Arabidopsis thaliana: one gene and its partners. The protein of the gene in region 1 interacts with the protein of each later gene in a pairwise test. Each region holds a gene or a part of one and is shown on either strand. Other genes may lie near its edges. The genes, in order: AT5G11870, AT2G27290, NHL3 and AT1G16170.

Evidence for each region.
Region 2: the proteins of AT5G11870 (region 1) and AT2G27290 interact in a protein complementation assay, tested with the Arabidopsis thaliana proteins (one large-scale study listed by BioGRID).
Region 3: the proteins of AT5G11870 (region 1) and NHL3 interact in a protein complementation assay, tested with the Arabidopsis thaliana proteins (one large-scale study listed by BioGRID).
Region 4: the proteins of AT5G11870 (region 1) and AT1G16170 interact in a protein complementation assay, tested with the Arabidopsis thaliana proteins (one large-scale study listed by BioGRID).

The regions. Positions count from the first base shown.
Region 1 is NC_003076.8:3,821,278-3,829,690, reverse strand, and holds AT5G11870 (Alkaline phytoceramidase (aPHC)), read right to left. Parts: upstream 4,272-8,413; 5' UTR 3,972-4,271; coding exon 3,812-3,971; intron 3,703-3,811; coding exon 3,603-3,702; intron 3,533-3,602; coding exon 3,412-3,532; intron 3,039-3,411; coding exon 2,917-3,038; intron 2,814-2,916; coding exon 2,692-2,813; intron 2,614-2,691; coding exon 2,454-2,613; coding exon of another isoform or gene 2,450-2,453; exon of another isoform or gene 2,356-2,449; coding exon 2,328-2,355; 3' UTR 2,118-2,327; downstream 1-2,117. Other genes in the region: AT5G11880 (Pyridoxal-dependent decarboxylase family protein), read left to right, coding at 1-251, 356-530, 625-774, 886-1,047, 1,139-1,324, 1,421-1,543, 1,618-1,707, 1,805-1,885; SSP5 (SCP1-like small phosphatase 5), read left to right, coding at 6,296-6,653, 6,785-7,122, 7,446-7,667.
Region 2 is NC_003071.7:11,676,442-11,684,530, forward strand, and holds AT2G27290 (FAM210B-like protein, putative (DUF1279)), read right to left. Parts: upstream 3,479-8,089; 5' UTR 3,325-3,478; coding exon 3,088-3,324; intron 2,602-3,087; coding exon 2,404-2,601; intron 2,316-2,403; coding exon 2,145-2,315; 3' UTR 1,864-2,144; downstream 1-1,863. Other genes in the region: AT2G27285 (nuclear speckle splicing regulatory-like protein (DUF2040)), read right to left, coding at 1-108, 437-655, 1,088-1,210, 1,298-1,456; NTL8 (NTM1-like 8), read right to left, coding at 3,976-4,350, 4,737-4,934, 5,007-5,260, 5,334-5,514; AT2G27310 (F-box family protein), read right to left, coding at 7,513-8,089.
Region 3 is NC_003076.8:1,928,219-1,935,536, forward strand, and holds NHL3 (NDR1/HIN1-like 3), read right to left. Parts: upstream 3,551-7,318; 5' UTR 3,494-3,550; coding exon 2,798-3,493; 3' UTR 2,578-2,797; downstream 1-2,577. Other genes in the region: AtPOT1b (Nucleic acid-binding, OB-fold-like protein), read left to right, coding at 250-370, 464-600, 695-887, 1,044-1,108, 1,243-1,331, 1,473-1,739, 1,832-1,908, 1,989-2,047 and 2 more; AT5G06330 (Late embryogenesis abundant (LEA) hydroxyproline-rich glycoprotein family), read right to left, coding at 6,743-7,318. UniProt on the Arabidopsis thaliana protein: Confers resistance to Pseudomonas syringae pv. tomato DC3000 (Pst DC3000).
Region 4 is NC_003070.9:5,536,727-5,544,734, forward strand, and holds AT1G16170 (ephrin-A3 protein), read right to left. Parts: upstream 3,277-8,008; 5' UTR 2,841-3,276; intron 2,448-2,840; 5' UTR 2,427-2,447; coding exon 2,148-2,426; 3' UTR 1,940-2,147; downstream 1-1,939. Other genes in the region: WAKL5 (wall associated kinase-like 5), read left to right, coding at 1-138, 215-337, 423-1,543; AT1G16180 (Serinc-domain containing serine and sphingolipid biosynthesis protein), read left to right, coding at 4,179-4,362, 4,437-4,676, 4,758-4,869, 4,949-5,123, 5,222-5,462, 5,658-5,944; RAD23A (Rad23 UV excision repair protein family), read left to right, coding at 6,541-6,606, 6,880-7,041, 7,338-7,376, 7,466-7,504, 7,591-7,664, 7,758-7,935.

The DNA of each region.
Region 1 (8,413 bases):
ACCAAGGTTCAAGATATCATGGAAACAGTCGAGAAACGACCCTTTTACTTATATAGCAAACCTCAGATCACGAGAAACCTTGAGGCTTATAAAGAGGCTTTGGAAGGAGTGAGATCTGTTATTGGTTACGCTATTAAAGCTAATAACAATCTCAAGATTTTGGAGCATTTGAGGAGTTTGGGCTGTGGTGCTGTGTTGGTTAGTGGAAATGAGCTCAGGCTTGCTCTTCTTGCTGGTTTCGATCCCACAAAGTACGATTCTTTATCCCCAATAATAAAGTTTGAATATTTTTTTATTTGGTCTCATGTTGATGTGTAGTTTTTGACCATGTCTTCGGTGTGGATGAAATGAATAGGTGTATTTTCAATGGAAATGGAAAGTCTTTGGAAGATTTAGTTCTAGCTGCTCAAGAAGGTGTTTTCGTAAATGTTGATAGTGAGTTTGACTTGAATAACATTGTGGAAGCTTCAAGAATTTCTGGTAAGCAGGTCAATGTGTTGTTGCGTATCAATCCTGATGTTGATCCTCAGGTATGGTTAAATTTTCAATCTTTTAGCAGCATGTCCTAGAATCTATTCTTTAGCTTGGATATGAATGAGCTTTTTCTGTTTGTTACCATTTTAGGTGCATCCATATGTAGCTACTGGGAACAAGAACTCGAAGTTTGGTATTAGGAACGAGAAGCTTCAATGGTTTCTGGATGAAGTGAAGGCACATCCCAAAGAGCTGAAGCTTGTTGGAGCTCATTGTCATCTTGGTTCTACCATTACAAAGGTAACTCCGACTATAGTTCCTTTTAATTTGTGTTTTAATGTAATCAATCTCTTAAATTTTAACTCTTGAGTCTTGAGCTTTGCATATTCACGTATGTTCTGTTTATTTCAGGTGGATATATTCAGAGATGCTGCGGTTCTCATGATTGAATACATTGATGAAATCCGGCGTCAAGGCTTTGAGGTTAGCTACTTGAACATTGGTGGTGGTTTAGGGATAGATTATTATCATGCCGGCGCTGTCCTTCCTACACCCATGGATCTTATCAACACCGTAAGAACAACAGCTCAAAACTCTTTTCTTTATCTTGATCTCAAAAGTACTGGAATGGTAGAATCTTTAGAATCCTGGATGTGTTTCATAGGTAAGAGAGCTGGTTCTTTCACGAGACCTGAATCTAATAATCGAGCCAGGGAGATCACTGATTGCAAACACATGTTGTTTCGTCAACCATGTAACTGGTGTGAAGACGAATGGAACTAAAAACTTCATAGTGATTGATGGAAGTATGGCTGAGCTTATCCGTCCCAGTCTTTATGATGCCTATCAGGTAAAACAAATATACTTTTCACAACAGCATCTGCAGATTCTAGTCCCTTTGAACTATAGCTAAACATCCTCTTGTTTTTGTTTTTTAACGCAAAAGCATATTGAGTTGGTCTCTCCTACACCGCCTGAAGCAGAGGTTACCAAATTCGATGTAGTGGGTCCTGTTTGTGAATCTGCTGATTTCTTGGGCAAAGACAGAGAGCTTCCCACTCCTCCACAGGTATTATAAGGATCTGATTATGTTTGGCAGCTCAAGTAATATGGAATCTAATTAGTTTCTTGTATACGTTACAGGGAGCTGGTCTGGTGGTTCATGACGCTGGTGCATACTGTATGAGTATGGCTTCCACTTACAATCTCAAGATGCGTCCCCCGGAATACTGGGTAACAATACTGTTTCTTATTATCGTTTTCTGCGGAAATTTAGCGGAGGGTCAAGATCCTGAGAGAAAGTGATTGATTTATATTCTTCTTTTTGCAGGTTGAAGAAGATGGGTCGATCACTAAGATCAGGCATGCTGAGACATTCGATGACCATTTACGTTTCTTTGAAGGACTATGAACTCCGAGATTTACTCATCATTGTTGCTATTTTAGATGAATTGTATGATTACGTTTCTATAATGCTATTGCTGTCTTGGATTTTTCCACATTCTGTGCTATGATTTAAAGTCCTCAATAAAGTGATCATATGAATAAGAAACAGGTCACAAGTCAAGACCGAAAATAAAAGGTGTATTTGTGAGTTATGATTATTCTTTTGGTTTCTTTTTAGTTACTACATGTAAAATTGTCCATTGTCCAAACACATATATAAGACTTGAATAAGTAACCTTAAAGCCAAAGCTGTTTCAGAACCAGAAACCAAGATTACACCAAGCTAACGATGTTTTAGTGGGATCATGGGTCAAAATCTATCTAGCAACCAAACAAAATTTGTAATACAAGAATCCAGAAGCATCTAAATACAAGAGAAAAAAAACTTGAGGAGTCAGTAATGAATGTCAAGGACGGCCTTTGAGATCACCTAATCTGTTTTAGTTTCCATCATACAAAAGAAAAGTGAAAAATCCTCTCAGGTTTCAAGGAACTCAAAGATCAAAGAGAAAGAGTCAGTGAAAAAACGTTACCTATTAAACCGAATGCTTCTATACAAAAGCATAATGGTAAGTAAAAGCGTAGCCACGGCAGAACACAAATGCTCCAGTGAATGCCCACTGATGATATATCGATTTGCATTGTATATTTTGTTGTCTGCAAGTCCTTCAATCTTGGCAATAGTGTACGCCGCTGCATTCATGATAAGCAGATATCAGAAGACCGTGGATTCTAATAAGAAAACCGCAAATGTGGTTTTGAGTTAAAAACCTGTTGCCCAGAGCCAGAATCTAGAGTGTGTATATTTGGGAGGTAACAAAACCGCCATGACGGGAATCACCAGACACGGTATCAACTGGAACGTCATGCATAACCGGAGATCATTAAACACTCTGCCATCAACTAAGACACATATAATTTCAATCCGAAACCTGACTAAAACCATGAACATATATGTATACAGAGGAGGTAATGCTTTCTTGGTTTTAATGTTACCTGGCGTAAGCAACACTGAGACATGATATAAATAGAAGCAAGATGAGGCAACTAAGTCCCACTTTCTCCCCCGCTCTCTCAACCAAAAAACTAGAGAAAAGCGACGAATACGCAATCAATATCTGCAATTTACCGTCATTAATCAACAAACAGCTATTCATAAACCAACCATCAAAAATGATGAGCAAAAACAACTTTCCATTCAATAAAACCAAAAACCACAACTCTACACCCGAAAAATCTCTAAAGCTTCTTTCCATTAGCTATAAGAGTTGTGTTCACTTCACTATGTGCTTGTAGAACCAACCAATCCAAGAAAAACCATGAAGTCTAATCTAAGCTTTTTTACATAGCTATAAGATGATTCTTCAACTTTTTGTATTCACAATGTGCTTGTCAATATATACAATTACCGCATCACTAATCAAGAAGCAATGAATGCATAACTGAAAGAAGATTCATGTTCCGAAGAAAAGTAAAGTGAGAAAAACGAACAGGCAAAGTGTCCCAGACGATTCTGTTGTCATCAGGTTTGAGATGATAAAAAGCAGAACCAAAAGCCAAGCTTGCAATGCCTGCGTAGAACAGTGTCCATCCCCAGATCTCACCATTTAAACTGCATTACAACAACTCAAATTGTTAAACTAACTCAAAATAAAACTCAAAAAAGGGAAAGAGAATGATACCTTATGTTGAAGAAGCTTCCTCCAATGCAAAGAACAAAACCAAGAACTCCAACGATAAGAAAGGGAAAGTTGGTCATCACATTCAATGTATTAGGCACTCCTGTTCATCATCAAACCCACACAAAACACCTGTCTCTCGTTATTACACATGCACAGAGACAGAGAGAGATAAAAAAAAAAGAAGAGAGAGTGTGATATGATGATGATACCCATGAAATTGCGTTTATCGGCGAAGATATGATGGCGAAATGAATCGAGAGGAACTTTGGGAGTGATGAACATGATGATTGACCAACAGAGGAACGATCCCACAACCAAAATTCGTTTCCTTTTCCATCTCCCTATCTGTTGATTCGTCAACCACACCATTAAAAGTTCTCTCTATAAAGGTGAAGACTTTAAAGGTTTGTATTGTTTGAAGTGGATAAATCAGTTATCTCTGTTGTGTCTGATTGATTAATCTTCTTCCAGTTTAAGAAAGAAAAGGGAAGACAGATTTATTGAGAGTCGCTTTTTTCGATTAGAACAACGTGCGGCGGAATCTCTTTTTTTCTTTTTCCTTGAGTCTGACGGGTACGACGACGACGATCGATCTCTAATGTTGTCGTAGTTGACGAGGACCGCTCTAAACGTCTACGTTTTGTTTCTATTCTATTTTATTTGTAAAGTAACCCCTTACATTTTTATATCTTATATATATCCCACCCCATGTTTCTGAAAGTAATATTTTCACTCCTATATATATGTACAACGTTTCAAAACTTGGCGGGAGTGGTTTTAGTTAACTGTTTCCTGGTTAGTGTTTCTAGGAGAAGGAAAAGTTAACTAAGAAAATTGCTAAATTATATATCCTTGATGTGTTGTTGTAGTTCTTAGAAGTAACCCACATAGATAGCCATGTATGAAACAAAAACAAAAATGGGATTAACATGAGACAAAGTTCAAAAGAGAATGAACTAAGAGTCTAAATGCTCTTTATGCTACAAAGTATTCAAGAAAACGAAAGAGTATAAGAGAAAGATGGGGAAGAAGATGAAACAATCATATGTATTCTCAAATTACAAACATATATTCTAAAGCTCAAATTGGGAACGTAAATATATCAATGTTGTTTTAAGCCATCATGTCCTCTCTGAATCATCCATTGTGCCATGCTTGAATACAAGTTTGATGTTGTTCATTTCTTTGAATAATATTGGCAGGTTGAGTGTTTTTCAGTTTGTGTTGGATCAAATTGTCTTTTATTTGGATTTCGTCGTAAACATAATCAGCAGAACACGTCATTCATGTCATACCTCTTAATCTTTTATGTGTTTGGTAATAAATCTGCATAATCATGACATGAAACAACATTCCACAATTCTATATAGCATTCTAGCTATAACCAATGAAAAATAGATCATCCTATATATAGTAGTACTAAACAAAGATTATTCTAAACCAACTTAACTTGTAACATCAAATCTAATCAAGTCACATAATCTTGTATAATTTCATTTTTCAAAGAAAATATTCAAAAGTCTTCAAAACGTTTTTTTTATTCCAATAATCCATAACATGCATGTTCAATTTGTAAAAAACAGAAGGTTCCTTTTTAAGAAAAAGACACTTCTCTAGTTCTCTACGGCATCGTTGTACTATCCTCCAACCGGAGATGACGTCATCATTTACCGGCCTAATACTCTTCGAATGTTTGGGGTTTAGTTTAACAAATCAAAAACTATCGAGGTTACTAATGAAATATTAATAAAGTATGAGGGCATTTAAATGAAATATTTCATTGCTTATGTAGACTATAGTCGTCTGTCATTCATTTCGAGCAAATATTTTACTCTTTTATTTCGAAGAGAGAGAGAGAAGAAGACGGAAGCTAGAAGAAATCGTTTTTGATCGGAGGTACTTTTTTCCGACGAATATACTCTCTCTAGGGTTTTCTTTTTTCTCTCTCTCCCTCTCCGTTTCTTCTTCTTAGCTCTTCAATCTCAGCTCGAATTTCTGGGCTACTGAAGTTTAATCTAGGTGTGCGCTTCGTTGAAGAAATTTTGAAATTTGCAGAGAAATTTGCGGAGAAAGCGGAAAGATTAGATTTATCCATCGTTTATCCCAGTAAAAAGCTTTGATTTTTCCACATGTCTTTTTTCCCCCCTTTTTTCGTATTAAAAGCCCTAGATATATATATCAAAATTGAAAATTATCTGAAATCGATTTCGTGGGTTTCAGTTCCGGTTCGGTTCTCTTTCTTAAAATATTGATTTCTGTCACTTTCCGCGATGAAAAGTTTTCGAATTTTGCTTCTTTTGGCTCCAAAGTTTTTATCTTTCAAATATTTTAAATCTGGGTACTTTTTTGTTTTGGTTCCTTCTTTGTGAATTGTATCTAGGGCTTTGCTCCTTTTCTAATCCAAGATCTGTTTTCGTTCTCAGATAGTGTATGAGCTAGTTGTTTGTAATTTGACGGCTCTCGGGAACTGATCTATCTCCGGTGTCTCTGCTTTGTCGGTAGCTACAGGAGTGAAGAGAGTTTCTACAAGGTAAATTTGAAAACTTTATCATTGAACCTTGTACTTGTAGATTTATAGTAGTGTTTGGGTATGAATGTGAATAATGGTCAGATATTGAAATTGTGGAGTAGTTGCATTAGGCTCTGAGTTCTGTTGTCTAATTCAGTTACAAGTTGATGTTAATAGGGTTTTAATGGAAGATGATGACTCTCCTTCTTCTCGGGATTTGGATGCACAGAACCCTTATGATCGATTGCTTGCTCTAGATACAAGTACCGTAGATCCAAATTGTAACTTGGATTCGGTTTCTGCCATTTATCTAGCGATGAAGAGCTCTAAGCTGGAATGTGTTGACGAGCGTGGTCAAGATTCCCTTATTACTTCGGTATGCATGGAGGATGAAGAGGATGAGGAGCTCGATGAGTTTGATCCTTATCTGTTTATCAAGAACTTGCCGAACCTGTCTTCTGTTGTCCCAACTTTCAGGCCGGTCTTGCTTCCTAAACAAACCCGAAGCTGTCCTCCTATTTCTCTTGTCCTAGACCTTGATGGTAAGGCTACTTTTCAGTTGATTCGTTTGTTTAAAATTGTATCTCTCTTTGCAGGTTTTAATGGCACACAAATCTTAGTTTTTTCTCACCAGGTTTTAAGGCTACTATAACATATATGTTTTATTTTGCAGAAACTCTTGTGCACTCGACTCTAGAGCCGTGTGGTGAGGTAGATTTCACATTCCCAGTGAATTTTAATGAAGAAGAGCATATGGTGTATGTGCGATGCCGTCCTCACCTCAAAGAGTTTATGGAGAGAGTGTCCCGACTTTTTGAGATCATTATATTTACAGCTAGCCAAAGTATTTATGCTGAGCAACTTCTGAACGTGCTTGACCCTAAGAGAAAGCTCTTTCGCCATAGAGTGTACCGTGACTCGTGTGTTTTCTTTGATGGTAACTACCTCAAGGATTTGTCAGTCCTCGGGCGTGATTTATCTCGTGTTATCATTGTTGATAACTCCCCACAGGTATTATACTCTTATTATCCTTCTACACAGTGAGTAAACACGTTTAGTTCTCCATTCTTATGCTTTATACCTAAACCGATCGATAGATGCTTTTATCAGCTATAATTGTAGGATACACTTCTAGTATAGGAAAACTATAATAACTATGAAAGGTAGTATGGGCGAATCCAGTAGAAGTTCTTTGTTTGCAAAAGCTATCTCATTGGTTTTGTAGGGTTGATGAAAAGAAGTTGATTCCAGAACCGCCATTAAGAATTCTCTAAGCTCGATCTAAGGCTGTTGCACAATCTCATTGGTGTTTTTCTTTTTCTGCAATGTTTTAGGCATTTGGTTTCCAAGTGGAAAATGGAGTGCCAATAGAGAGCTGGTTTAATGACCCATCAGATAAAGAACTCCTTCACTTGCTGCCATTTCTTGAAAGCCTAATTGGAGTTGAAGATGTAAGGCCAATGATCGCCAAGAAATTCAATCTAAGGGAGAAGATTGATGCAGCTGTAGCCGCACCTGAATATCCTGCTGAGGCGGGAGATCCTTTCGAAAGGTAAAGTCTATCGCCAAAACACTTTTAAAGGAAGAATCTGGCACAAGAGCAGAGGTTGGAGAAGATATATAAGTATATCAATGTTGTTTTCTTATTAGTTTAAATTAAGAACTTGGTATACAGAGAAAGACAGGATATGCCTGTAAAAACAGTTTAAGGCACAATAACTGTATAATTGTTTTCTCGTTTATTTACTAGTACACATAGATTAACATTTCAAGTTTCAAATTGGCTTTTTTTTTTGCCTAAATCCTTTGAAATCAGACAATAAAAACAGAACATAAAGTGAGCTTAAAGTTTTTTTTAGTTTTATTTAAGAAAAGTCCAACGAAAAATTTGCATATGAATCCCAATCAAAAATCAGTAGCATAGTGCGTGATCCAATAAATTCATTTTGTACAGAATCCAAGAATAATTTGTTTCCTCCAATCACCAAACGCCATTCTATTCGACCATAAGTCTTATTTATCTCAGTTTTCATGGCCGTATAAAAATATTCCTAGGCACCAAGCTATAGGTGCGTAACGTTTCTAATATACGATTGGTTTTGGTATTATTGTTGGTTCCACGAACGGATAATTATGAAACTTGTTTGGACATTTAAAAACTAAATAGTAGCTTCGTGTAATAGTCAAAGCTATTCTTACCAAGTAAGTGGAGGAAGCTTGACGAAGAAGAGTAGTGCGCATTTTAACCGAATCTACCTTTCGAAGATGTCGGCGCAGGTTAAGCTCTACTACTATTTTTCTT
Region 2 (8,089 bases), on another chromosome or scaffold:
TTGTTCCTCGAGCTTCTCTGCCTCTTTAGCTTCGACTTCTCGAGCTCCAAAAGCGACATTTTTTCCAATGTTGAAGTAGAAATCACTCAAATCTTTCTTCTTAGTAACCTAACAGAAGATGAAAACAAAGGAAAAGAGCTGACATGAGTATTAATAGCTATAAAAACAAATCACTTTAATTTTACCAAAGCTATATGCTATATATCTCCCCATTGCTAATACAGAGACATGAAAATGGTTTCTAGACCCACCCATCATGTCCTAAAAGCCACCACATGCAAACTACCTTGACACAGTTCCCAAACCAAAGCTACTTAAGACAGAAACGTAAAAGGACAAAGATAGGACTTCAGCTATCCTAGCAAGTACTAGTTTAATAGACGAGAGAGATAGAAACACAAACATGAAATAAAATGAACAAGGAAACAGAACTTACATCATCTCTTTCCTCACGAAGTTCACGCAATCTTTCTTCTGCCAGCCATTTCTTTTGTTCCTCAAGTTTCCTTTTATAAGCGCCAGTAACAAACTTTTCTTTATCCGAAAAAAGATGTTCGTCTTTCTCCCTCTCTTTCGCAAGCTTTCTCTCATAAACTATCTCATGTTCTTTCTCTCTACGTTCTGCCTGTTTCATCAAATTCTGTATATACCTTGGCTGCAATTAGAAAAAGAAAACTAAATGAAACATAAGCAATCCAATAAGTCATTCTGAAACCTAATTAAAGTGCCCCAACTACAGAGAATGTAACACCATAAGAAACTACTAAAACTGACGCATGTAGAGGCTCAGAAACTTCACCTCTACTTAACTAAAACAAAGTAACTAAGCTTTACACTTTTTGGTAACTATATGTAGCCATGGGTTATAGGCTGGTAGTTGTTAGGGTATTGCAGGATATCAAGATTTTGGTGGTTTCTAAGGGTAATAAGAAAATCCAGCTAAGTTATGGCTTCCTATACTTCAATCATATGATAAACCAAGCCCGACACAGATCATAGATTCCTCTTAAGAACATGGAAACATAGATTTTGATTCCCTAAGCTACAGAAGCTTCAAGTCTTAAGCTCTCTAAGAGATAAACATTACCTTGCGTTCTTCACGATCTTGCATTCGAGGAAGAACAGCTTTCTGTTTCATATCATCATAAACTTCATCATATGAAAAAGCAGAAGGATCCTCCTCTAAGGCTTTCTTATGCTGCTCCTCAATCTAAAACACACAATCACTTATCAAGCAGATCAAATTGAAGGAAATATAAGAAACAAGAACTCGAGTCAGTGGAGGAAAAAAGCTTACTTCTTTATGAGCTTTGGTCTTTGTTGCTTGACGAGAAATCTCCTTCTCGACGTCGTGATCTTCTTCTTCATCAAATATTGAAGCGGGTCGAAGTGGAGGTCGAGATGATGATTGTTTTTTCTGGGAAGGAGCTCTGATTTGCAATCCGTACTTCTTCATCTTCGATTTCTATTCCAGGAGCAACAAACTTCTGCAAAATCGATTGAAAATTAGCGCAATTCCTGCGAAGTCCCAGATTCTGGAAAAACACTAATCAAACCCAAGCATGAAATAGGTAGATTTCGCTGTAGAATCGATTAGGGTTACAATTCACAAAAGTTGATTGGTGTGATTTTCCCAGGATTAAGGAATTTAGTAATCCATGGAAGAAAGTGAAAGAGGAAGGGAGGAGATAAAAAGATCCAATTAACTATAGATGGTATAGATGATTACGGCCCAATTGTTACGGCCCAATGTTTTCATATTTTGATGGGCCGAGATAATGAGGTTCTAGAGTACAAGTTAAAATGCATCACCAAAACGATCGAGGTCATATGCTCTGGATCACAGAGATCATTCCCAACCATTTGACAACTACTTCTCCCACTTACCAAATGTCTAGAGGTTAGTGAATCGTGAAGTCGTAATTTCCAACCAACCACATATTAAATAGACAAGTCTAAAACTATATCACAACTTGGATTCTGCCACTCTTTGGTTCTGTATCTTTCTAACTCATCATCATATTCAGATATGCTTCAATCTTTTTTGTACATACAAGGTAGAGAAGTGAGGATTGTACAGGATTATGTATGTTGATTATCAAGTAATATATAGAACATCTACATTATAATACCTCCAAAGTAAGCTACTTGTCATCATCCTTCTCCTTGTCCACTTTCTTCCCAATCCAATTGGCTACAATAGGAGTCAAAGCCACTGTAGGCGGAAACCTTATCGGAGATGCAGCTTTATGCGCTGCGTAAGCCAAAGCAAAGGCTCCTACTTTCTCTCCTGTCTCATTCGTCGAAATCCCAACCTTAAACACAAAACATCAAAATCAGCTTTACTCAACCCAAGATCAAGAAAACATAAACTTAGTATGATCAAGAAGTGAAAGTAGTAACCTTTAGAAGAAGAGCTTGAACATCAACACCGGAAGTCACAAGGACATAGCAGAGTGAGAAGGAAATGAGAGAAAGAGTAATAGATGTAGCGAGATAAGCACCACCATACTTTGCAAGTAACTCTTTAGCCTCATCTGTTTTTGATTTCTTCTTCTTATTGTCTCCATCACTTCCTTCATCATCCTTAGAGCTTAATATCTAATCACAAGTCCATCCAAAACACCATTTTACTACACAAAAACTTCCATAGATTCTACAACTTCCAAAAATGCTCCAAACTAACCAATCACATATGCTCACTTGTTGATAAAAAAAAACACCATTTTAGCATAGTTAAAAGCTTACATAACTTCTACAACTACCACGAAAACGATCATATCTACTCACATAATCATCTAAACACCATTTTAGTACCCTTAGAAGCTTCCATAGCTTCAACAACTACAAAATTGCTCACATAATCATACAAAACACCATTTTAGTTACACTTAAAGCTTCAATAGCTTCTACTAATACCAAAATTGCTCTGAATTAGCCTATCATTCAGCTCAGAAACAATCATATGTCCTCACATGTTCATCCAAAAACACTATTTTACTTACACTTAAAGCTTCCATAGCGATAGAATCATCAATTTTAGATTACGAATTAAAACGAGAAATTGCGCAATCGAATTGATTTTACCTTCCATAGACCAACTTCAAGGCCATATTTCTTGGTAACTTCTTCGGCGGAAGGAGGAGGAGGAGAAGAAGACGGCGGCGAAATGTTCTTATCAATGTCCTCCGCCTTCTCACGGACGGCTCTGCATCTGAATTTCTTCGAGGAAGCTGAAACTGAAGAGTGGAAGAATCGGATTTGAAGGTTTCTGGTGTTCAACAAGGAAGACGAAGGAGGAATTTGCAGAAGCATCATCGCCATTGTTTTTTTCAGCCACCAAAAAAAACAGAAAGCAAATCTTTTCACCTTATTATTTTTATTTATTGTATGACACACAATTATTTTTTATTTTTTTCTGAAGGTATACCATTTGTTGTATTAGAGGTTCCAGAGTAATCTTTTACATATATAAAACTTTAATATAGTATAAAAAATCCATAAGTAAGAAAAATATTTTTAGACTATTTTATAAATATAAAAAACTACAAACAACATTTGTTTGATTCTCAGGCGTTTATATTTTGAACTGAAACTTTTGTATATCTAAACATAGTCTAAAATAATTTATTTTACTTATGGATTTTGTATAATTTATTACAATTGTATATAACTAAGAATATCACTTTGCAATCTCTAATACAACAAACAGCAAAACTTAAGGAAATGGTGGTATTATTCACATTTACTATATGTGAAATTTGTTGTCTCTATTTTCACGGAACTATCATCTCTTTCCCAAAGCTTTCACCCAGATTATAAAGGTTTACTATCCGAAAATATTCTCTTTTCCATAAAAATTTTGGTTTGTACACAAGTTTGAATAATTGTTAAGACTAGCTCAACATGCCATATTGCCATAGACCAAATACTATATTTATTTATGTATAAATAATATGTATGTCGTAACTAGCTTTAGTTCCTAGCTATTAATACAGTCCAAAAGAAAGAAAATAAGATAGCCAAGAAAACAGTAGTGGCCAGAACATTCTTCATCAATCTCTGGCTATCATCTTTCTTGATTTTGAACGGGTTCGGGAATCTCCAGCTGGAGTCGGTTCCGGCAACGTTCTTGATCCTGAACAAAGCGTAACAATTCATTGTTTCCGTTGATTCTTTTTTTATACCACATTTTGACCTCTTACTCGATGACTCGCTTGATATTGTTTCTTGATGAGTTGGATTAGTTGGTCGAAACGCTTGGCTAGCTTTCAACGCTTCTTCGTCGAGCTTTATTATATCATCGTTCAGAATCTCGGCGTAACAATCATCATCGGTATCGGCCTGATCCTGCATCGCAATAGAAAGAGATCAACTTCAGTTACAAACTCTAAACTCTACCAGTACAAGAAAACTAAGGATGTTCAGCCCAAGTGTTGGTTTAGTCTATTGAGTTATAATATTAGTAGCCAAAATAAAAACCAAACATTGGATATATTGGTTTGTTACGTTTTAAGTTTAGAATCTGCTTTAGTAAAATAACAACTTTAGTGAAATCTAATGTACTATGAATCCGTTATAGTATGGTACTATGGTGTTGGTTTGGTTTTAGTTTCTTAATCGGTTCTGTTTTCGGAACTATATTGAATTTAATGTGGTTTCGATTAAGATTGGAGCGGATAATTTTACCAGTATTAAACATCGTTAAAAGACACATTCCTCAAAAGCAAGCTGACCTCAACAACATTTGATGATTCTGCGATGTCACCATTTGGTATCTGATGCTCAGATTCATAGTAGGATTTGTCCTCCTTCTCCAAACCACCTCTTTGGCCAACGTAGCCATCGTCTTGCACAACACCATCCTCCATTTTTTGGGTCGAACTAGCCCGAAAATCAGCATTTTTTCTTAACCGGCACACCACTAATGCATCCTGTGAAATCCAAATTTCAATATATCTCAAAACATTAAAACTCAACCTATTCAAAATGAAAGTTTTAAGAACCTGTGGGGCTCCATGGATGCAGTATTCATGCATAATCCACTCCGTTCTCTCGCCACGAGGAGCCCGACCGATATGAAATACAAGCGTTCTCTTGGTTCCAACAACTTGGTTCCCGGATTTAACACTCCGCTCTTTACCGGTCGCTTTCCAATATCCTAGCTGTGTGGCTCGCCGGCTTTGTGACCCGTGCGGGTACTTCCTCCCCCTCGCGCAGAAGTAAAACCACTCGTTCTCCGATTTCAGTTTCGATTCCTCTGTTTTATAGGCACAAACATTCAAATTAGTGAACCAAAGTAAACATAAAGAGAAAGAAAACCGAAGTAAAACCTGGCAAGTCCCACGGCTCGAACTTGTAAATCTCGACCTCAGCAATCACAGCAACAGAGTTCTCATCACCATCGATTTTACGACGAAGATAGTACGAGATAAGTTCAACATCAGTAGGAGAGAATCTAAAACCAGGGAACAAAGCCGACACCGCGATCGACATCTCAGCTTCTTTAGACATTGTTTGATCTTTTTGGCTCAGGAACTCGAAAATACTTTGCTTTAGATGAAGAAACATGCCTTATAAATGGCAAGTGTGCAGCTACTTTGCTTCGGGTAAAGGTTTTGTGTTTTTTGATATTTGGCGGCTTCAGAGGGAAAAAGGATGACGTGGACAATGACTGTAAGAATTGGGCGAATAACAGAAGAGTGTAATGAGATAGTAAAGGACAAAAATGATAACGTGGTTATGTATTATTGGACAGAACTCAAACCCAGCTCTGAAGTTCTCTCATTGATGCTTAATAAATCGTCTCTTCATTTTTAAACACGTGTTTCGATATCTTCCTCGGTGTTTGTACCCCGCATGCCAATAAGTTTTTGTTTTTGTTTTTTTGGGTGTAATAACTTATCAAAATGAATTTTTGTTTTTGACGGCAATCAAAATGAATTTAAATCACTTTGTAATTATTTTATTATCTTGCGCCAAGATATTTTCTTTTGTGTAATACAAGTTTTATATGAATCTATTTTATTATTTTTTTGTCGATGAATCTATTTTATTAAATACATTATATTTTTTTATTGCAATTTCTAATCTATTACTTTATTAGCTTACGTCATCATTAACGTTTTAGTTATTTTTAAAATATATAATAAAATCAATAAAATCATATCCTAACTAAACTATATATCCAAATTTGTATCCGTGTAACTTTCTCTAAACTAGTTTTATGTCCTCTAAGCTCATATTGGAACTTATTTGCTTCGAAAGATGGGTGATTAATCTAAACGTGATGGATATAAATTTTAGTGTTCACGTAAGATGATTATGGTTACGGTTATTACGGGTACGGTTTATTAACCATCAGTTACAGTTATAAAATTTTTTAACCTTAACTTTAACCACTATCTATGATTAAAATGATTACGGTTACAACAATTATGATTATATATGGTTATTGTTATTTGATGATTACAATATAGTTAATATTGAAGGCGAAATCTTAAGAATTACCCAAAATATTGTATTGCTTTTAATAAGATGAAAAAGTATATTGTACACCAAATTTTCTTCATATCAAGCAATGTAGCATTCCAACATATTTGTTTGAGAAAAAATCTTATTATTTTCTAGCTTAGATTTTTTCATATCTATTATTTACCTTTTTGACAATTTTTATCCAAACATTCGATATTTGTCTTTGCATATACACGATTACAACTATATTTTGTCTTTGCATATACACAATTACAACGATTATCCAACGATTTTGATACAGTTACTAATAATTAACGGTTAGTATTTTTTTTAATAGTAACTAATTTGTTTTTCAGTTATCGGTTACAGTTTTTAACCAGATTTAGTAACAGTCTGGTTACGGTTCGAAATGCGGTTACAAAATTTTGATCATACCTATACTCATAGTTGCAATCCAGGCAATGAATATGAGATGTGTTGTGTGTTTGCCTGTGGATATTGCCGTTTGGTTAACATAAAAACTGATTTGTGTTTTTTCTTCACCCAAACCATCAAGTCTATAAATCCCTAACCCACTAATCTGCCGGAAAAGAACCCCTACTAATCTAACAAACTGAATTGGGCCCTAAGCCCACACACGTTCGCAACAAACGGAAACAATAATTTTTAATCTATACTAAAAAAATTATTAAAAATATTTCCATAACTACCAAAAAATCTTCTTTGGCCGCCAAATTCCTTCACTGACTAATTTCCGACCGCAACTTATTTCTTTAACCAATTTCGTTTTCAGATTAGGTAATACGTCCAAAAGTGACATTTTAACGACTATATATATTCAAAACTTATCTATCATAAACAAACAAAAAAACACCAAAAAAAAATCAGTATTACGTCATGCTTCTCTAACCAAATATCTTGTATATATTTCTCAACAATTTTCTTTATTACAAATTCAAAGAACGAAAAAAAAAAGATGACAAAGAAATGTATGTATTATTGGATCATTTAAGTATTTTTGTACCTTTCTATAGTTATTTACCTTAACAAAATAAAACTCCACAAAAGCACAAACATAGAGAACCCAAAGATCATACAAATTGTGTCTTGAGCTTTTTCTCTCCTCTCTTTATTCTCTCTCCATTGTATCTTCATTCGCACGTATTCTTCATACCTTTCTTTAGCTCTTCTCTCTTCATCATCTTTACACGATCTCTTTCCATCTAACAACCCTTGTAAAATTACCAAACTATCCCTACCTTTCATACATTTTCCTTCTATGTCCTCTACTTGTAGCCTCACGTCCCTCACGTGTATTTCTCCTCCCACTTCCTCATCCACCTCTTTCCACGCTTCCGCTGACCCGCATGACACAACCGCCGCCACTTCCGCCGCCTCCGCCGTCACTACCGTTGAAAACCGTATTTCTAAATCCCCCGTTAGCCAGTTCCGCCGCGCCGACACCGCCTTTCGACTAGATATATTCGCCGCTCGTTTCTTGATCGGATCGATTAGTATCCAATTAAGTTTCATGCTCTCTTCCATATCTTTCACCCACGCTTCGTAGTCCCCACCCGGATATCGAATCCGGGTTTGGACCGACTCTTTCGGGTCG
Region 3 (7,318 bases), 1.9 Mb from region 1:
TAAGTTACGAAAACCTCCAAACATCCAATTGTATGAAACTCATATCATAGATTTTTTTTTTCTTCTTAATGAGCAACTTGGTAGCGGCGGCCCATTAATCATTATTATTGGGCCTTTAAGACCCATTTGAGTTACGAGAGCTCCTAAACGACTCAGCAAGATTCACCGGAGTGGCACCGGCCGAGTCATCGCATCCATCGCCGTTGTCGATTTCCTTCAAACCCTTGCAAAACCCCAACGATCAGAGACATGGAGGAGGAGAGAAGAGATGACTACAAATTCCTGAGAATTCAAGACGCTTTCAAAGCATTGCATCTTCATGTTAACCTCATTGGAGTCATCGTTGAGCTAGGATTCTCCAATGGCTCTGGTATCGTGATCCTCTCCCAAAATCCTTTTTTGCTATTTCATTTCATCATAGCTTCGTTTTTTCATACTTCCGACTGCTCGAAATTTGTCGCAGATTGTTCATGTACGCTCAAAATCGTTGATCCATGGTATTCGGGATCTGGCCTTCCCGTTAAGTTCGTCGCTCGTACCATTCGAGACCTTCCTCGTGTTGAATCGATCGGAGATATCATCTTACTTTCACGTGTAAAGGTTGACACACTATTCCTCTGATATGAGAAGATCAATTCTTCGTGGCTTTTGCTGATTTTGTTGTTAAACAGTTTTCTTCTGGGTTTAAACTCAGATTGTGCTGATTAACCGGAAAATCACAGCTCTCTGCAATGAAACAACCTCTTCGTCTTTTGCTTTATTCAATGGGAAACATAGCGTGGATTCTATACCTTACCAGTCCTCACCTAAATTCCTGATGAGAGAACAGGATAAGAACTTCTTATCGAATCTGAGAGAATGGATGATCACGTACAAGTTTGAAGATGGTAATTATGATGCAATATCATTTCTAATGAATTCTACTTATTCACTGAAATCTCTATATGCAAATGTTTGCTTCGTACTTTATCTCTAATGTGTTCTATGTCTTGGTGGTAAGTTGCGATTGTTGTGAGGTTTTGTTTTGTTTTGTTTTATGATAGGGTCATGCTGTTTCACATCCCTGAAAGATATCAAAGAAGGCGAATGTTCAAACCTATCTTGCCAGGTAGATTGATCATTCCTTAAAAGAATATGTTTTGGTTTTACTTTTCATGTTCATTTGTATTTATGGAACTGTAAGTGTCTTTTATGGTCTGCTATGTCTTTGACATTGTTTCTCATTGTTTGTTTCCTTTGAAGATTGTTCACATTTCCAAGGTCTATAAAGATAGATGGTACCTCTTTGTTTGGGATGGAACTGAGATGCCACCCTGCAACATCTTGGTTAAGTAAGTCTGAATTTCCTCAACCAAAATACAACGAGTAAAAATAAGTTTCTCTTATGCGTCTTATATTCATTTACTAGATTTTGGTCATATATCCCAAACGTGTTACTCATCTCACTCTGTTTTTGTTTGCAATCATAATAGGTCAGAAAGGCTTCCTTTATGTGTAGAACCCGAGATGTTGCCTACATACATGTTACGTAAGTTTCCTACTTTTGGTTCCGTTTTGAGGATCATAGTAGATAGAGTTAGTGAGAAGCAGGCCATTCACTGTCTTCAACCTGGTCAACACGTGAAGCTTCTGAACCTTTTCTTTCAAGTAAATATGGGATTATGGAACGCCACTTTTACTCCCTCTACAAAGATGCAGTACACAATGAGCAGAGAGATGGAAGCCTTTAGTCCTCAAAGGTTTCTGCTGACACCTTTTCTTATCCTGTGAGTTGATGTTCTGCTTCGTCCGTTTGTTCTTCAGTTTAAAACACACTTTCTTACCATTTCAGAATGTGTGGGGAGAAGTTTTCACCGAGATGGAACCCAATCGCGCGTTGCATTAGTCGTTCACATTCTGAAATCACAGGTAATAACCAGCTAATTGTTTGGAATTGTGGAAATTTGACATAACGTTTAATATAATACTTATGGTTTAATCTTTTCTAGGGGTTGCCCATGACGATGCTCCATTTGTTTCTCTGATGGACATCCTGACCTATCACAATGTAATGTATCCAAAAACCTTGGATTTATCATAAGTTGTAGGAAAAGAGTATAGTGAAAACTTTCTTGAATTGATGTTTTACTGATGCTTATTATGCAGGTGACTGCTAAATTCAGGTGTGTTGTTCGGTTCATACAAGTGTATCCCCGAGACGTCAGAAAACTCCGTGATATCAACGGAAATATCAAATTGGTAGCTATACTAGAAGATGCAACCGCCAGAATCCATGCTTCTCTATATGCTGATGAAGGGGTAAGTAAAACACGATTAATTATTAGTGTTCATTGAAGGATTGTCTAATACTTATATCTGTATATCTTTTTACAGGAAAAGTTTTTCGGGTGTGACGAATCTGATGAAGAGGCTCTAGTCAAGAAGCTGAATAGATTGTTGGGAGGTGAAGAGATGGAGAAAGTGCCAAGAAATCCTCCATGGGTACAATGTTGCTTGTTCTCATTCTACAAACACAAAATGGATCAGTGGGAAAGCAGAAGATTCCGCATTTTTGATACTTGGATCAATGCTTCATGAGACAATCATAATGCTAATTGTATAGTTATTAGCATTAAACAAAATGTGATTATTTATTTACATGGAACCATACAATAAAACATTACATAAGAAAAATATCTCTCTCCAACGATATGTATGGAAGATAATAAAGCAAAACAATCTAAAATAAGAATCAATAAACAAGTGTAATATGATGAACTCGAAGAAGACTATAATAGCATTGACTCTTGACTAGCAATCAAAAGTCAACGTCACACTTGGTCGGCTGAAAAACAAACCCGCTGGTTGAATTAGAGGTAAGAGGAACCTTGAGATCGCACTTGATCTTGGGCTTGAACCTCCACGACTTGATCAACCCAAACTTAAACCTAATCTTAAGTCTCAGCTTGGCATCGATCCTATAGATCTGAGAATTCACATCCTCGTTCAAATCCTTCCTCTCTCCGCCGTCAAGCAGCACCAATTGCTGTCCCACGAGTTTAGTTCCAACCACCGTCGTGTTCTTATGTCCCTGGTAAAACTTCGAGATGTTGTTACTCATACCGAATCGCTGATCACCGTAGTATCCTCTGACTTCGATTTCATCATAGTAAACACCGATCCGGCGGTTAGGGTTACGGATTGTGAAATTGAGATCGAGATTGTATCGGAGGTTGTTGGTTGGGTCGAGTGTGAATTCGGTGAGTTTAGCGTCGGTGACGTGGAATTTGATAGCGTTGGGTCTGAAAATGAGCCAGATGATTAGAGCAGCTATGCCTAATAAGACGGCTATGGTTATGAGGATGTTGAAGATGACGCTTAAGATACAGCAGCCGCAGCAGCCAAGACAGTCACCTAAACAACCGCATCCACCGCCGCGTCTGCCGTGGCTGTGAGAGACTTTCTTCGGCGGTGGAATCGATGGTCCGTAATACGCACCGTTTAAGTCCGCCATCTGTTCGTTAAAATGCCTCAGAGAACGATTTTGAAAGAAAGTTTTTTTTGGTTTGTGATAAGATTTTGAAAAAGTAAATATGATTTGAAGTGAAGAAGAAGAGGCCGTAATATATATACACTGTAGAGATAACGTGTATTAGATAAAACGATTTAATTTGACGCGGTTTTGTTTTTTCAAAGTCAAAGGTGACGCGTCGGTTTAATATTGTTCGATGAAAATTTGATTTAAGTAGAGGTTACTTGCGAGATTGTTATTAGATATTTAGGATTAACAGTTTGATATACATTAAAGATTGTTTCTTAAATTTTACTATATGGTTTCTTCTTCAATTTGACTATGTATACTTTGGTTAAGCTTAATGAGATTATTTCTTGAATCCATATATACATGATTTGGTGATTAATGAGGTTAGTGCCGATCGCATACAAGAATATCCATATGTAGATATTTATTTATATATTCTTTTATTATATAAGACATGTGAGAATGTGATGATACTTAGTGCGGTAGTTAGTTTGTGAATTGTGAATAGTCATTTTTACAATGTAACTAAGCTTCCGAGAAACTTCCCCAAAAGCGACTGCTCTAATATAGCCATTGTTTCTTAAACTTGACGAAAGACTTTTGAGAACAAAAATAGAAAATGTGGCCAAAATATCAATAAGCCTATACAAAGTTAGAAAAAGACAAACCAGTCCCGGTCAAGAATTTCGACATTATATATATAACATGATGAAATGAAATAACTTTGATCTATAGGTTGCAAGTTGAAACTGAGGTGGGGTTTTCCAAATGTTTATTTTATAACTATGAGAACAGTTCTACTGATAAAGGTTATTTAATTAATTATCAATTAATGAAAATGTTTAATGTGAAAGATTTCTCAAATTCAAAGAAAATTAAACATTGCAAAGACTTGTTAATGTTATAATGCTAAAAGCAAGGAAAACTAAGGGAGGTTGGTGTTTAGAGTTGGATGATGTGACCTGTAATTGAAAGGAAGATTAGGTGAAGCCATGCTTTCAAATGTTTACATCTTTCTTCAATGAGAAAGGTCAAGCATATTTAATAAAGAATAATAATACTAGATCGCAACTCAATCATATTAAACTTTAAAACAACTATGGAGGATTTATAAAAACAAATGTAACAACTAAAAAAAGTATTCTTATAATATGAGATGTAATGTGTTTTATTTATTTATTAAAGTAGTCAATGTAGTTTAAGAAATTTTTATGTGTTATACGGTATAACAATAATTTTCATTGTATATGATAAGTAATACACAATAATTTTAAAGAAAAACCTGGTGATGAACAAACGTGTTTGAAAAACTTGTTAGAGTTTAATGCGGTGTCAATGTGTGTGGTGATAAAACATTAAACTAAATTAGACAACAAATATTTCACGAAGACTCCTTCAATCTTAGCCGTTTGGACGAAATAGATCATTGGAATTGGACAAATAAATGATGAAGACTTTGGTTGTTCTTAGGGTTTTGAAAATGGAGGAACCGACGACCGATCCCTATCTACTCAATTCCGATATTCATCCGAATAAATTATTGAGAAATTGCGTTGAATAGATGTCCACTAAAGTTTAAATGGACATATATCTAAGGAAGTAACATATAGGGTATACTTTTCATGTAATCTATTACTAATTCTAATTTGGTGGTTGTCACCATAATTTTGTGTTGTTAATCATTGTTAAAATCTGGAATACAATACGACTCGAAAGTCGAAACTGTATCGTGTTAACCAGTGGACCAATGATACAACTCCATGATTCATTTTACTTACGTTATCCTTTGGTTATGAATGTTTATTCTATGTTTTGGTTATGAATTTCTCTAGATGAACAAAATCGAATCTTTATGTATATATTCAAGTCTTGATCATTTACACGCTTAATAAAATGTATGACTTCAAAAAGGCAAAAAGGGAAGGTTATGTAGACAATTGTGTGTTTTTATCATCTGCTTTTTTACAGTATAACTTCGGTTCCAAACTAGGATTGTATATTCATGGATTGATGGGCGTAAAGTTTCTCATCATGCTGATCAATTACCTAGATTACGTATGGCAAATTTTCAGTACAATGTTTCGAAGATTTTCAATTAAAATTATGTTTATATACAAACTGGATTCGGCAGCGTGTATATGTACAAAGGAAACAAAACACGTGGGAGTTAGTAGATAAATGGGACTAAGATTAAAAAATTGCATAAAAAATCGTTCACAAACACATCAAATATTTGTTGGTGACGAATCTAACGAACAAATTGCGTACGTTATGCTCAAATTGGACCTCGCTCTTATGTACATTTTGAATGTTCTCACATTGGACTTCTTTCTGAAATACATATACATATCGAATATAATAACAATAGCACATGTAATGAATCATTTCGCAAGTTTTCTCTCTTGGAGAAAGTGGATTCCAGATTGAGAATTACGCCTACAAATCTCTTAACAAAAGAGGCAAAATTAGTCGAAGCAGTTGGTTATAAGATGACTTCATTATTAACCCAAAAAATACATAATATAGAATATTCGTGGGATTCGAACGTTGGAGAAAAATACCCTATTTCTTGTAAAATAAGCAACATGATTCTACTTTTTATCATTTCAAGATCCAAGAATATTTAGGAGACAAACTAACCAATATATTAGGAATATAGATTTGATCAAGAGTTTTTCCTTTGAATGTACTGAACTGTTGTAAAGAGCCAACTTTAAGATCTAAACTTTAATGGGAAATTGAAAAACTATATGAGAATGGGTCTTGATTCTGTTTTAGAAAAAGAAAAAAAGACAAGATACTATAGATAATGACACCGTACAAATGGTTACCGTTCCGATCAGATATTTCTAAAATTCAATTGTCGTCACTCTGGATCAGCACAAAATCATAGTCAATGAAACAAGAGAATATACATTATTATCATTATATAGAAAACAGTTTTTAATTGAATCATCCATCATAAATTGTTACCAACTGAAATAAAAATAAACCTTTTTTTTTGTCTTTTACTATATTTTAGTGTTTCCTTTGAATCTTTTACAGCTCGTCATAACAATAACGCAACCGATTGCAATTCTTGATATTATTTCTCTATGACGTAGGAAAAAAAAAGTTATAAAACTTAACTACTACGAGATTATATATAAAATATATTACGTTATTAATAATGAAAAAATCCGTGACCGATACCACCGTCACCGTTAAGTACCTCTTAATTTGTCAAACACTAACACTACAAGTTTCGGTGAGCATGTACTTTCCGACGATAACTCCGGCAGCACTACTCCCGAAGTTGATAAGCGCATGACATCTAACGTGGAGATGATATTTTCCGGTGATGAAGGATCCGACTTTCCAACGAACTCGACCGTCGAGATGAAGCATCAACATGATCGCGCCACTTGAATGGTCCTGATCGAGATAGAAAGCGTTGTACGGAGCCACAGGAACGGAGTATCCACCGACGAAAGGAGACCAAACGTTGACTTCTTTGTGTCCTTGATAAGTGGTAAGCATGGGACTCGGCAAAGTGATCTGTTGGCTCCGGTAAGAAGCGTAGACGTCAAGACGGTCGTAGTAGATACCGATCTTGTCGTTAGGGTTACGAGAGGAGAGAGTGAATTGGAAATTTGAGGTGAGGAGGTTCGGTGGATTGCCGGAGACGTTGAAGTTGAAGACGGTGGCGTCTTGGAGGACGAAGCGTGGTTTCGATGGTTGAAGGATTGCCCAAACTAGGAGAATTACGACAAGGATTAAGAGGAGGATTATTGATATCGTCCAGATCACTATTTTACG
Region 4 (8,008 bases), on another chromosome or scaffold:
ATCTGACATATTCGGGATCTTACTTATCCGGTGATAGTTGCCTTTGCGAGTATGGTTACTTTTCCGAAATGAGTTATAGGAACTGCTATTGCTCCCTTGGCTTCACAGGGAATCCATACCTTAGAGGAGGTTGCATTGGTAAGTGTTTGTTTCCTCTTCTTTTTTCGTTGAGAATAAATCAGATCATTAATACTGATAATTGATATATATGCAGACAATGATGATTGCAAAGGACCTAATATCTGTGAAGAAGGCACTTGTGTGAACGTGCCTGGAGGCTATAGATGCGATCCCAAGCCCAAGATAATCAAGCCGGCCAAACCCCTCGTGCTACAAGGTGAGTTCCAATGGCACCTTGCATCTACCATCCTTTAAGGTAGAGCAGAAAACAGTGTTATTTATGTTTTTTCTTGTTATTGCAGGGGTTCTTTTAGGTTTAATGGGACTATTGTTCTTAGTTGTTGGGACGCTTGGGTTGATTATATTTATAAAAAAGAGAAGGAGGATCATCAGTAGCAGGAAGTTCTTCAAACGTAATGGAGGCTTGTTGTTAAAACAACAACTAACTACTACAAATGACGGTAATGTAGACATGTCAAGGCTATTTAGCTCAGAAGAGTTGAAGAAAGCCACCGATAACTTTAGCGTGAAGAGGGTGCTTGGGAAAGGCAGTCAAGGAACTGTGTATAAGGGGATGATGGTGGATGGCAAGATCATTGCGGTTAAAAGATCAAAAGTTGTCGATGAAGATAAGCTCGAAAAGTTCATCAATGAGATCATCCTTCTTTCACAGATTAACCATAGGAATATTGTGAAACTAATAGGATGTTGCTTGGAAACAGAGGTTCCGATCTTGGTTTACGAATATATTCCCAATGGAGATATGTTCAAGCGCCTTCATGATGAATCCGACGATTATGCGATGACTTGGGAAGTGCGTCTTCGCATAGCCATAGAGATCGCGGGAGCTCTAACATACATGCACTCAGCTGCATCATTTCCAATATACCACAGAGATATCAAGACTACCAATATCCTATTGGATGAAAAATACGGAGCTAAGGTTTCTGATTTCGGAACATCAAGATCGGTAACCATTGATCAAACTCACCTGACAACAATGGTTGCAGGAACTTTTGGGTACATGGATCCAGAGTACTTCCTATCAAGCCAATATACTGACAAGAGCGATGTTTATAGTTTCGGGGTTGTCCTGGTAGAGCTCATAACTGGAGAAAAACCGTTGTCCCGAATTCGTTCTGAGGAAGGAAGGGGGTTGGCAACTCATTTCCTCGAGGCCATGAAAGAAAACAGAGTGATTGACATCATTGATATTCGGATCAAAGAAGAAAGCAAGCTTGACCAACTGATGGCAGTGGCGAAACTCGCTCGAAAGTGTCTTAGCCGGAAAGGGATTAAAAGACCAAACATGAGAGAGGCTTCACTCGAGCTGGAGAGGATCCGTTCATCACCTGAAGATTTAGAGGCCCATATTGAAAATGATGATGAAGAGGACCAAGTCATGGAGATCAGCAGAGAATGATTCTGGAAGCGTGTACAAGAATATTTCAGCCTTTATGTAATGTATATGGTGACAAGAAAATCAATAAGATCACTCGGCAGCAAGTCATCCATCTTTAGCCACAAAGTGTATTTGAAATTCGAAGTTAACATGTACTTTTGAAAATGAAGTGTGGACTTTTGGTGTGACTTGAATGTATTATTTGATGACTGGAAAAACTTACTTGTCTAGGAGTCAACGATGTGTCAGAAAATGTTTGACTTCAAGCATTATGGTTTCAGTTTCAGAGTCTCGACCTGTGTAGGTAGTAGAAGTTATATCCCGCTGCTATCATCATTCCGCTGGTAAGAATTCCCAAATATACAGAAACGCATGAGCTCTAATAAGAGCGCCTAATAGAGGCTTGACATACAACCGGAGGTGACGATCCGACTCAAAACAGTGCACATGTATACTCTCATCTCATCTGATGAAATAAAGTTATCTTTCAATTATGAATCTCTGGTTTTATTTCACCATGTAATAATACACACAAATTGCATTATAGAATAAAGAAGAAAAAGAATGTTTTAGTACAAGAACAATAAATGTGGGGGTTTCAAACTTTCACCGATAGATAAACAGTCTAGAAGAATTTAAGTTTCCCTTTGGAGAGAGCTTGAACAAGTTGTAATTGACACATTGCCTTGTCTTTCCCGGTCAAGCCATAGCAGGACGAGTGCCTAGCGCCTAAAGTGACTGCAAAGTAAAGATAAACAGTACAGAGGAAAGCCAAAAGAGCCAAAGCTGTTAAGAGATATTGATGCCTCTGAATAAGAGTCGACCAGCTACCCAACTCGTCCCACTGCTTCTTTAGACATTGTTGTCTCCTTGACGGTGAAGATACAAGCCCATCAAGAACCATGGCTTTATAATACCAATTAACCTGCAAAAATTGACACACAAGTCGTTTTAACACAATTTTACAAGAAACATAAACATGCTATGAAAAGGAGATCATCACAATCAGATTGAATGTAACATTTGGGAGATCACTTTTCCATCATAAACCATCATAAATGTCAATGAGAAACAAGAATTCGAGACACATATCGCTGTTTTGATTGGTTGTGGAAACGACATTAGTCATAATTATAATTACAAAAGAGCTTGGATCGTATACGAAAGATGAAAATGAAAGCAACAAATTGCCAACAATAACGTCATTCTCAATCAATCATCAATCACAATACACAACAACAACAACTCGCGATCGATGCACATTGGATAATCGAGGGAAACAGATCCGAAGTAGGTGAAAGATTATTAGAAAACGAACCGGTGAGAATCGGTTTAGAGATCTGGAGAAGAAAAAGCTAGATTCCAGCTCCGTCGACAACCCCCGAAATCTTCAGCAGTGTTGTTGCGATATGGAGAGAGAGAGAGAGATGGATCTCCTCCGTAGATTGATGATGGCTCGAGCTGGGCCGATTTGCCGGATACGCCGTACGCGGCTTATTATGTCCGTTACATAAAACGGGAATTTAGGGATTTTATATACAAAACAATAAAAAGATAAAAAATAGGAAAGAAGATATATAAAGAGGACAAAAAAATGATGATGCGTTGTTTGTTAGCTTCCACTCCTTTGTGTTTTGAAGATGATGGGCATGTTGTTAGAATCCGATGATGAGTGATGACATTTACCTAGGACTATGATCTGACTCTTGCAGCTTCCAGAGGGCATTTACGAATACGTATTAAGATAAACTTTTTTAATCATTAACGAGAAGACAACTCATGTTCTAGTAATCACGATAATGTTTAGTACTTTTGTATATTGTATTTGTATGACAGTATGAGGTGTTCAATATTTTGGTTTGCTTCCAACTAAACTAAAAGTCTAAAATACATTGTTTTAGTTGCACTGAAATCCTAATAGACTGAGTTGCCGTTGCCGTGAATCACTTTAGCCGGTTAGCATTTAGCATCCAAACCAAAACTATTTACCCCCAATAGCCTAGAGTTTTTTTTTTATAACTTTTTTCTTTTTCTTTGTAAGGAGACTTGCAAGGTTTTAGTAGAGGTCTATCTTAATCAAAAGCCCATGCATGATAAACAGAAGGAGAAATTAAAATAATTTGGGCCATTAGTGGGCCAAACATGAAAACTTGGTATTGATGGTTTACTAGTTCCTTTGTAAGTTGGTCAAAAGTCCGAAATCAGGAGCGAGATAATAAAGAAACAACGAGTTGTTTTACTTTTCAAGGAGAGGATAGCTCAAGGTTTTTGATCGATCGCAAGGTATTTTGATTCTCTCTTTCTCAAGCGATTTTCGTTTTCCTTCTTTTGTTCCAGAGGTCAAATTCAATCCCTAAAGCTAGGTTTCTCGGGTGAAGCTTTAGATCGGGAGCTATGATTTCATCTCGAATTTGGGGATAAATTTCAGCTTATTTTAACCAATTTCAATTGATTCCAAATAATTCTGTTTATCTCTGAGCAAAATTGATTAATTTTCGATTCGGTCTTTAAAAAGCTGCTTTTCTTACCGTCTCCATCCGAAATTAGTTTTTTTTGTTTGTTTGATGATTTGTGTTTTGATGATTTGTGTTTGCGTTTTGGTTGATACTAGCAGCTGAATATTGAATCCAACCTTTAATCTGAGAGGAGAAAGAAGATGTTTGCAGCTTCTTGTCTCGCATCGTGTTGTGCTGCTTGTGCCTGCGATGCTTGCCGTACTGTGGTTTCTGGGATCAGCAGACGTTCTGCTAGAATTGCTTACTGTGGTCTCTTTGCACTTTCCTTAATCGTTTCATGGATTCTCCGTGAAGTTGCTGCTCCTCTCATGGAGAAGCTCCCTTGTAAGTTTTTTTGTTATTATACTTCTCGTGAGATTATTTTGGTGTATGCAACTAATCATTGACATTGTGTGCAGGGATTAACCATTTTCACAAGACACCTGATCGTGAATGGTTTGAGACTGATGCTGTGTTGCGTGTCAGCTTAGGGAATTTCTTGTTTTTCTCTATTCTATCGGTTATGATGATCGGTGTGAAAAATCAGAAAGACCCTCGTGATGGTATACACCATGGTGGTTGGATGATGAAAATAATCTGTTGGTGCATTTTAGTCATCTTTATGTTCTTCCTTCCAAATGAAATCATCAGTTTCTATGGTAAGTTTCTGTTTATCATTGCAAAGTGATTAGTGAATCGATTAACTTGGAACTAATGGGAATCAATTTTACATCTTGCAGAGTCGATGTCAAAGTTTGGTGCTGGATTTTTCCTGCTTGTTCAAGTTGTACTTCTTTTGGATTTTGTTCATGGATGGAATGACACATGGGTTGGCTACGACGAGCAGTTCTGGTTAGTAAATATATTTGCAATTAAATCATGTGACTTCATTATCCCACTACTAATCTAAGTACTTGACTTTTATATATAGGTATGCTGCTTTGCTCGTTGTTTCTCTTGTATGTTACTTGGCAACATTCGTCTTCTCTGGGTTTCTCTTCCACTGGTTTACTCCATCTGGACATGATTGTGGACTCAACACCTTCTTCATTATCATGACTTTGATATTTGTATTCGTCTTTGCCATTGTAGTTTTGCATCCTACTGTAAGTTTTGACTGAAACCTTATATTTCTCTTATCTGAGATCTTATTTGATTCCCAATTTCAGGCTCACTGAAGTCAAATTAACCTATTCTTTTGCAGGTCGGTGGAAGCATTTTACCAGCATCGGTTATATCTCTGTACTGCATGTACCTCTGTTACAGTGGACTTGCAAGTGAACCCCGGGATTACGAGTGCAATGGTCTCCACAATCACTCTAAAGCTGTTTCAACAGGCACAATGACCATTGGCTTACTCACAACTGTTCTCTCGGTTGTTTATTCTGCTGTTCGTGCTGGTTCTTCCACTACTCTTCTCTCCCCTCCTGATTCTCCTCGCGCAGGTATGTTTCTGACAAAAAAAACCTTCTCCTATACTTTGCCTCCTTATATTGCAAGATAAGGATTCATTCGGAAACTCGAATCAAACCTGAACTGAAACATATATTCTAAATCCCTATATTGAAACCTTGTTGTGTGAGTGTTTGAGAGTTGCTTCTAAGTATCATAACGTATTTCCTTTCAATGAAAATTTTCAGAGAAGCCTCTGCTTCCGATAGACGGGAAAGCAGAAGAGAAGGAAGAGAAAGAGAATAAAAAACCAGTTTCATACTCATACGCATTCTTCCACATCATCTTCTCCCTTGCGAGCATGTACTCTGCAATGCTCCTAACCGGCTGGTCAACTTCAGTTGGTGAAAGTGGTAAGCTGGTGGATGTCGGGTGGCCTTCAGTGTGGGTCCGTGTTGTGACCAGCTGGGCCACTGCTGGTCTCTTCATCTGGTCCCTTGTTGCTCCCATTCTCTTCCCCGACCGTGAGTTCTGAGCTAATGCATCTACTTGAGATTCTGAATAACTTTTCATGAATCTTCAATTTGTAAAAAAATATTCGATCTTTCTACTATAATAGAACATCGTGTGCTTAATCACGAATGGCCTTTGTTGGCCCTTCTGTAATATGAAGATGATATAAATAAATTCCTTTCTCGTAATTTTCATCTGTCTCGACTTCTCCACAATTGCGTTTTGCCCGATTCGCGTTTGTGTTTTGTTTGGTCAAAACGGTGGCGCAAGGCTGGTATGAATGAATTCTGATTAAATTATCATATGTTAAACGTACCGATCATTGTTATGATTATTATACTGGTAAGGTAGTAAACCGGAAATTAAAAAAATTGCACTGGATTGATTAATGTTTTATCCGGGTAAATTTTAGAAAGAAGGGTGTGTCACGTGCGATGCACGTGGAGCTCTTGCCGCGTTTTAAAACGCTATGTTGTTGACAGCGACTGTTTGATAAAGTCGGCATTGTTGTACAGTGATTGAAAATCAAAAAGCTCTTTTAGGTCACTCTCTATTTTTCGCTCCCTCGCCGGACTTTGCTGACGCCGCCGGTTATATCTTCTAGTCTCATTCGTCGACATGAAGCTCACTGTTAAGACTCTCAAGGGTAGCCATTTTGAGATTAGGGTTCTTCCCACCGACACGGTTAGTCCTTCTCCTTTTCCGCTTCCTTGGTCCGTACCTACGTGTAATACTGTATTAGGAAATCAGTAGATTTAGATATCTTCTGAAGATGAGAGATGCTGCTATACCAATCTGGGTTATGAAACATGTGACTTGTTGAACAGCTTTCTAGAAATGCTAGATTTAGAATTTTGAGTTTTTTTTTTTCCGATGAAATGGATGGGTTGAGTGAGTGTATTTGTCTATGAGTTCTTACATGGTTATATCCTGGAATTTTTCTACTTTGCTTTGAAGATAATGGCGGTGAAGAAGAATATTGAAGATTCACAAAGCAAAGACAACTATCCTTGTGGGCAGCAATTACTGATTCACAATGGAAAGGTTTTGAAAGATGAAACTACCTTGGTGGAGAACAAGGTTACCGAGGAGGGTTTTCTTGTCGTGATGCTTAGCAAGGTACCTATCTGATTTCTTTTATGATCCTAGATAGTGCTTAGTGTGAGTCACTCTAAGCAACCTGGATTTATATATCCTTCTTAGTCCCATTAGATATAGTGGCTGTGTTTTCTATGACTAATGATCGCAATAGCAGAAACTCATATTGATAAAACTTTGTTTTTGTTATAAGCAATACATATTTCTAGTGGAAGCTTAGATGATAGGTGAATAAATAACAAATTAAGAAACGCTACAAGGGAACCTATGTGCTTGTGCTGACAACATCTTTGCTTTTTTTTTTTTGCAATGGATAGAGCAAAACTGCAAGTTCAGCTGGTCCCTCTTCTACTCAGGTAAGCTTATTTCTTAGTTTCTCATGTTTGTGCACATCACTTGGTCAGTTCAGTATTCCTCGTTGAAGAACTTTCTTTCTATCTCACAGCCTACTTCTACCACGACATCTACCATATCTTCAACCACGGTAATTTTCTTACATTGTTTGGGAATTGTGCAGTCCACATTTTGTTTCCTTGGTTCATTTAACACAAGTTTCTATCAATCAACCAGCTTGCAGCTCCGTCGACAACCCAGTCTATTGCTGTGCCGGCTTCAAATTCTACTCCCGTTCAAGAACAACCAACGTAAATTTTATTCTTGAACAAGAGGCTTTATTGGGAATTTTTGTTTTTCAGTAATCAAGTTCTATATTCTCTATGATCTCCACACCATTGCAGGGCACAAAGTGACACCTATGGTCAAGCTGCTTCAACTTTAGTTAGTGGCAGTAGTATTGAGCAAATGGTTCAACAAATAATGGAAATGGGAGGAGGCAGTTGGGACAAAGAAACGGTTACTCGTGCACTTCGTGCAGCATATAACAACCCTGAGAGAGCAGTGGATTATCTATATTCTGTATGCCCCTTCTCTGTAACAGTGTTCTGTGAATATTTGAAGGGATTGAAACTGCTGATGTCTATTTTAATTT